2 linked regions of the Nothobranchius furzeri genome follow. The protein of the gene in region 1 binds, or shares a complex with, the protein of each later gene. Links are inferred from orthologs where the notes say so. Each region holds a gene or a part of one and is shown in the gene's direction. Other genes may lie near its edges.

Region 1 (4,168 bases):
TCATACACAACCACTCTTTATTCTACAGAAAAGAGCATTGAGAATCATTAATAACAATCACTATGGAGATCCATCCAATCCGTTATTCATCAAATATAAACTAATGAAATTTTATGATCTAGTGAAAATGAAAATATTGCAAACAATGTATAAAGCTAAAACCAATACGTTACCCACCAACATTCAGAAAATGTTTGAAAAAAGAGTCAGTAATTATTTCTTAAAGGAACTGAAGTATTTAAAAAAACGAAATTTAGAACCAGAATGAAAGAAATGACTATCTCTGTAAATGGCGTGAAGAAGAAGAAGAAAATATCATTTCTATAGCGCCTCTCAAGATAAAAATCATGAGGCGCTTCACAAAAACAAAAACTATAAAAAATTGTAAAAATATAAAAAATCACTTAGAAAATGTTTAAAAATATATTTAAAGTGAGCAAGAATAAGCAATTGAGAATATGGAACAACCTTAGCAAAGACATAAAAGAATCAAAGTCACTAAATATATTAAAAAAATGTATCAAATCAAGTGTATTACAGAACTACAATAACCTAAATTAAGTTGGTGTCTGATTAGGTCTGTAAGTTACAAGAATATATAATGAATCTGTGTTTTGTTTTGTTGTTTATTGAGAATTGTATGGAAGCATTATTAAAAAGTTTGGTTTGTCAATAGGGGTAGATAATGTAAGATATTTCTTCCTTCTGCCCCTTTTCATTCAAATTGTTTGGTGTTCATGTTTATGCATGTTTTTGTATGTTTTTTGTATATATATATATATTTTGACACTTTGAATGAAACAAAGAGAAAAAAATTATAATTATCAACAAATAATAGAAAAAATGGCTACTACAAATTTCAAAATGACTAAAAGTAAGTGGATTGTTTGTGTATGTGTGAATATAGTAATTATATTTGTTTTATTATTGGGTTTCTGGATAAAATGGGCTATAAAAAAAGCACAAATGGGAACATACATGAAATGCACAGTTTTATGCCCTTCCAGATCAAGTCTGTATGTGCAAATGTATTTTATCAGCAATAAATCAACGCAGCTCCACCTATTAATAAAATCACGATTATAAAAAGTGTAAATTGTGCAACTACTTTCTTACAAGCTGAAAGCAGGTTTTAAACTATGTTGCAGGATAAATTATTATCTGCACAACTCTGCCCCCTGCTGCTCGTCTGCCGTCGACACAGCGCTTTGTGCTATCAAGCTATTGGAGAGACGCCCTCTGTCCGCCAGGAGGCAGCCAACACCGACTGGTAGTCTGCAGGCAAAGATGGCGGTGCGGAAGAAAGACGGCGGCCCCAATGTAAAATATTTCGAAGCATCTGACACCGTTTCGCAGTTTGATAATGTCCGCGTCTGGCTGGGCAAGAATTACAAAAAGGTACTGAGCGCATGTTTTATAAGCGTGCTCACGGAGCTTTCTTATTTTGCCCAGAAACGTACGCGCTTACCTATGGAGGCAGAGGCAGTGACAAAGAGAGGAGGGAGGGTGCTGCTGAGCGTCCAGCTGTTTGATTCACTAAAAAAGGATGCTGAGCCAACCGCAACATCAGACGCGGCCGCAAAAGTCGGTGTCTGTAGGTCTTGCTGTAGCCAAAAGGATCCAAAGACACCACACAGTCCCGCCGGAGGGAGCGGAGTTTAGAAAAAGAGATATTTTTGGCAAAGCAGGCTAGCTAAGCTAATCGGCTAACGGTAACGCGGCTCACATCCAGATGTTGGCTGTGTGGCGCGCCTCTGGCTCTGGAGTCATGAGCGGTGTTAAATAACACTGACCAGCGCTTTATCACGTAGATTTAACAAAACATGGTGTTAATGATCAAAAAAGTCACAAGTATCCATTCATTAATGATGGATAATTGTGGAATTAATCACATTTTATTTAAAAAGATCTAAAGCTTTTTACGAAAGAAATCTAGTTTTCCTTGTCCACCGAAGTCTCCATTATCCAGTTACAATAACACACTTTAATAATGACTAGAATAAGAAACAAACAAATACACATATGTGAACACTGCTCATGTGTATAAAAGAATGCAGAGATTTAGGCAATAGACAGTTAATGAGATAGGATTCACAAAAGGACGATGGAATAAATGCTTTATTTATATAGTGTTGCTAATGTATAAAACACCCATATGAAGCGAGGAATGAGAAATATACTGAGTTTACCCAGCAATAATACTATATAAACTGATAAACATACAGATCCATCTACATTATTTACACCCATAAATAAAAGATGCATACACAGGAATAGTGATAAAAGTGAAACTTCCAGAGTTCCCATAAGTTTTTCCCATCTCCCCAGTACATCCAGGCCGAGCCCCCCACCAACAAATCCCTGTCCAGCCTGGTGGTCCAGCTGCTCCAGTTCCAGGAGGAGGTGTTTGGCAGACATGTCAGCAACCCTCCCCTCACTAAGCTGCCGGTATGTCACACTTATTTACCCCCACCCCTCTCTCTAACAGATTACTCACCCCTTTGCCCTCAGGCGATGTAATATGAAGCTGTTTTATTTTCTTTCTGCAGATGAAGTGTTTTCTAGACTTTAAATCAGGGGGGGCTCTCTGCCACATTCTGGCTGCTGCCTACAAGTTCAAGAGTGACCAAGGATGGTAAGAGCTTCTTTCTGACTGGTCTCATCATGCATCTTGAGTGAAATAAAAGTGGCAGTGCTCTGCTGCATTTAGGCTGTCCTGCTGTTTTGTGTGTAACTCCAGTTTAATTTCCTGGTAGGCGCAGGTTTGACTTCCAGAATCCATCGAGGATGGACCGAAATGTGGAAATGTTCATGACAATTGAGAAATCTTTAGTACAGGTGAGTTTTTCTCACTGATTTTATTCACCGTTAAGCTTTTAAAACTCATTCCTTGGACAGTTATGCTGTAATAATTGTTTTTCATCTTTGTCAGATAATTGTGGGGTTTTTCTGATTTATTCTAAACATTTAAACATTGAGGTTTTTGTTTCTTTTGTGTTTCTGCGAGTAGCCGATCTAAATAGGTTATCTGTGCTGGGAACGCTGCTTGTCTCCTGTTTTTACATCACGTTTAGGAAGTGTCTTTAGAATCAGAGTGGTGAGATTTAAAGATAGAAATAACAAAAGACAGCCTTTTCTCTGAATCAGACACACTTAAATGCTCATTTATAGGATTTGAACCATAAAACTAGAGTTACAACTTGAGCTGGTTCTCCTTGATTCTTGTAGAACAACTGCCTGAGCCGACCCATCATCTACCTGAGTTCTGACATTGAACCGAAGCTGCTTGGAAAACTGAAAGACATCATTAAAAGACATCAGGTTGGTTTTTGCATAGTTTTTTTTAAACAAAAGTGTTATTCTGCTGTGCATGTATAATCCACACAGCCTTTTTGTGCTGCAGGGCTCCGTGACTGAAGACAAGGCTTCCAGCTCCCACGTTGTGGTTCCCATCCCCACCAGTCTGGAGGAAGGTGAAGCCTTGTTATGTTGCTCAGCTCGGGTTTCTTATGAATTCTGCTGCTTTTCCACTTTAGTTCTAATACAACATGATATTTGTTGGTCCAGAAGAGTGGGTGCGTCCTGTGATGAAGAGAGACAAGCAGGTCCTCCTCCACTGGGGATATTTTCCAGACAGGTTGGTTCTGACTTGGCGCTTCAAACACAGCAGCGGCACACGCGTTTTTACCATTGAATGAGTCCTAAACGGTCTTCTTTGTGAGCTCACTGAACCTACACATTGCTCCTTGTGTGGTATTCTCACAAGCCTTGATGTGTATTTTGTTCCCTTCTGTTGTTTTTAGTTATGACACGTGGATTCCTGCAAGTGAGATTGAAGCTGCAGTGGAGGATCCTCCGAGCCCAGAAAAGCCCAGGAAGGTCTTTATTAGTTTTATTTCTAATCATTAGTTACTCGTATATATATATATATATATATATATATATATATATATATATATATGTATGTATCTATATACATATATATATATATATATATATATATGTATATACATATATATATATATATGTATATACATATATATATATATATATATATATATATATATATATATATATATATATATATGTATATACATATATATATATATATATATATGTATATACATATGTATATACATACATATATATGTATATATATATAAATATA
Region 2 (3,652 bases), on another chromosome or scaffold:
TTATTATTTTAATTCTCTTTTATAATTAAATATCTATTTTTCTCAATATATAACAATATTTGATAAATATCACGATAAATAACATACAACTGTTTGTATTTTAACATCGTCCTTGTAGTTTTATAAGCTGATAATTAAACTGAAGCAAACATCTTTACTGTGAACTAAATTTACTGTGTATCTTCATTCCTTTTGCCGTCTTTTTTTCATTTGATTTTTCCTACTGGGAAGCTAGAATTTCCGAGGAGAAAGCGAACGCACCATTAGCTGATAACAACGGTGGCAATGGAAGCTAACATATCAAGCTAACGTTATCTTAAACAGTTTATTTAGCTGCTGGAGCAGATTAAAACGACGATGCCTCACACTTAGATCGTTGTCACTGGTTTCATCTTCACCCAATCACCCGTCGCATTTAGTAAAGTGAAGCCAAATTTTAGAGCGCGTTCATGTTCTTCTAGTCAAGAATTCGGAGTTCCGAGGAGAAAGCGAACGCACCATTAGTGGAACGGAAGCTAACATATCAAGCTAACGTTATCTTAAACATTTTATTTACCTACCGGAGCAGATTAAGATGAGGATGTCTCACTTAGATCGTTGTCGCTGGTTTCATCATCACCCAGTTACCCATCACATTTAGTGAAGTGGACCCAAGCTTTAGCGTGCGTTCTTTCTACCATGCTGCTGTTTACAACTGGCTCGCAGCGACCGACGACATAACGCTCTTGCGCATGTGCAGCTGTCTAGGCAAGTTCTCGTTATGAAGGACGGGTACCGAAACGAGGCACCGTTTCAAATGACGTGAATCGGTGCTCGGTCGGTACTATGGAATTCGGTCGGTACCTTAAAAAGTACCGAATTCGGTACCCATCCCTACGTCTTCCTGAATCAGTCTTTTCTGAATTCACCTAAAATGTTCTGGTGTTGATTCATTTACAGAGCCCCCCCCGGAGACGGAGACCGCTCCAGCAGCACCTCCAGCTCCCGTTCTCGGGCTCTCCTGTGTTTAATTCTTAAACCTAAAACAGGAGACAGACTCCAGAACCCTCCTGTCAGTGCTTCTCCTCAGGAACGTCCACACGACGCTCACCTCGGCTGAGACGGATGACCGTTCAGACTTTAGTCGCTTTCAAAAACATCAGATTTGTGTCAAAATCAGTACCACATAACCAAGTGACACGGATCGCATTTGAAAAAATCGGATCTGTGCGTTCAGACTGTCACGAAAAAACCAGATGTGGGGAAAAAAAGCGGGTTTGATGAGCTTTTGTCTGCAGTGTGAACGTAGCCTAAGTGAGTGAGCTGGTGTTTCTGGGCAGGAGTGTAAACGTTAAACATTAAACATGCATCCTTCTGGGTTTAGGATACATGTCTCCACATCCTTCCCCGATGGGAATCCACGAGCACGCTTCTAGTCCCATGTCAGGAAGCGGAGGTGGACCCACACCACCCCACATGCCTCCCTCCCAGTCTGCACCTATGATGTCCTTGGATCCTCAGGCCGGCATGCCCAGCATGTCTGCTATGGGACAACAAGGACGAGGACCTTCTGCCTTCAGTCCCGTGCAGCTTCAGCAGCTCAGAGCTCAGATTCTCGCCTACAAGATTCTGGCCCGGGGACAACCGCTGCCAGATAACCTCCAGCTGGCTGTTCAAGGCAAAAGGAGCCTACCCACAATGCAACAGCAACAGCCGCAGCAGCAGCAGCAGCAGGCTCCTGGTGGCAGCCTGTACAGACCTCCAGGTAGTCAGCCCTCCTCACTTTACCACCTAAATCTGAAATCTAGCACTTTTTGATTTGCGCTAAATGACCATTTGGTGTAATTTTGGTCAGAAAACTATGATGGCGGCTCAGACTGGACCAAACAGACAGCCATTGTGTTGTTATGAAACTGCTGCGTAACTTTATTCAATTCAATTCAAAGCTTTATTTATAAAGCGCCGTCCCTGTCGGGGAGGCCAAGGCGCTGTACGCAGTACATAAGAACTGTAAGTCACAATGAATGAATGCATAATAAAAGGGGGTCAAATAGTGCAAAGAGGGTCAAACATTCAAGTAGAAACAGTAAAAACAGGGAAACGAAATCAACATAGAAGAGGGCCGACTAGGGCTGCTCGATTATGGCAAAAATAATAATCACGATTATTTAGGACGATTTTTCAATTTATGTTGATTTTATTTGTTTTTATTCAGTCATAAAATTTCTCAGGGCGCAATCAGGACAAAAATAAGAAACAAATGATCACTAAAATAACTCCTGAATATAAAAAGACCAATATACTTATAGCTCATAGTTTATGACCTAAGGGCTATAGACCTTGGTTTAACTCATTTAGGTCTAACCAGTACAGAACCAAATACCATTATCTTGCAAATACTGACAGCAAGAATTATACAGTGGCATTCATAACAAATAAACACAAATAAATTGATGTTCACAAAATGTTGCATAACATGTATTGAGTCATGTCAAGGTGCTGTAGGAGAGTGCACTAGCACCGTGTCCTCAGAGAGATTAGTTATTAATTATCAGCGTGAGGAACTTATTTCTACCTTATTTATAAACTATTTATTTACAAGTCATCCATCAGTTAATGTAATAATTGTCTCAACCACAGCTGCACCCCACAACCCAGTCTCTCAGCAATCGGGGCAAGCTGCACGTGCGTTTAGCGCACCACACGCTCACATTTAGCTGTTTTTAGTGGCTCAGGAGTCCGCAGGTGCGGTGTGTGTCACTCACTCTGGTTAATCTAACAAGGAGCCGACTCCGAGAGCTGTCTTTAGTGACTGACCCATCACTACATCATTCCCTTTCCTAATGTCCTGAAGAACGGTCCGGAGCGCAGGCGGAGTGTTTAGCTAACCTGCAGGAAATGTCGACGACAGTTATCCAGAAAGTAGCTAAGGGTTACCAGAGATGTTTCTGAGGTGTTCGCTAGGTACTTTTAAGTTAAAAAGTCAAGAAGGGGGTCTGAAAAGCTGCTAGAAATAGCGTCAAAGTCACTGTTGGCAACACTGTGGGAGGAGCGCTTCATTTGCAACTCAGGGCATCGCAAGCGGGAGGAGCAAATAATCGGCTTGTTTTGTTTTTTATAATCGTTCAAAACTCAGATCGTAATCGTGATTAAAATTCGATTAATTGAGCAGCCCTAGGGCCGACCTCAAACACGTTCAGGGAACGCCAAGCAGAAGAGCTGGGTTTTCAGGCCACCGCAGAGAGGGGGACAGCCTAACTGAGGGTGGCAGCTGGTTCCAGAGTGACGGGGCTAGGACTGAGAAAGCCCGGTTCCCACGAGTCCGACACCTAGAACGAGGGACAGCGAGCAGGCCGTGGTCAGAGGAGCGTGTGACGGGGAATGTCTGTTCAGGAGCGTGGCTAGATTGGGGGGGGGGGGGGGGGGGGGGGGCACCACCCTGGAAGAAACTGAAAACAAAGACGAGGTGTTTGAAGCGAGAACGATAGCAGACCGGAAGCCAGCACAGGGAGGCCAGAACCGGACTGATGCGGTCCCGTTTCCTGGTCCAGATTTCTAAGGCAAAGTGAGACGTGTTGTTTTCTAAAACACGTTTAATTACATGGATGTAAAAGAATGTTTACAGATCAGAGAAAAGCCGTTAAACCACCTCTGACTGCTTATTTCATTGACA

Evidence for each region. The genes of interacting proteins can lie anywhere in the genome.
Region 2: smarcc2 (region 1) and smarca2 share a complex: the UniProt entries of both Homo sapiens proteins name them as parts of the BAF complex. The link is inferred for Nothobranchius furzeri from reciprocal best matches to the Homo sapiens genes SMARCC2 and SMARCA2.

What each region holds. Positions count from the first base shown.
Region 1 is NC_091743.1:50,346,214-50,350,381, forward strand, and holds the start of smarcc2 (SWI/SNF complex subunit SMARCC2), read left to right. Parts: upstream 1-1,238; 5' UTR 1,239-1,287; coding exon 1,288-1,398; intron 1,399-2,328; coding exon 2,329-2,448; intron 2,449-2,549; coding exon 2,550-2,635; intron 2,636-2,756; coding exon 2,757-2,838; intron 2,839-3,228; coding exon 3,229-3,321; intron 3,322-3,403; coding exon 3,404-3,473; intron 3,474-3,567; coding exon 3,568-3,637; intron 3,638-3,803; coding exon 3,804-3,879; intron 3,880-4,168. UniProt on the Homo sapiens protein: Involved in transcriptional activation and repression of select genes by chromatin remodeling (alteration of DNA-nucleosome topology).
Region 2 is NC_091750.1:37,837,812-37,841,463, forward strand, and holds part of smarca2 (probable global transcription activator SNF2L2), read left to right. Parts: intron 1-1,363; coding exon 1,364-1,744; intron 1,745-3,652. UniProt on the Homo sapiens protein: ATPase involved in transcriptional activation and repression of select genes by chromatin remodeling (alteration of DNA-nucleosome topology).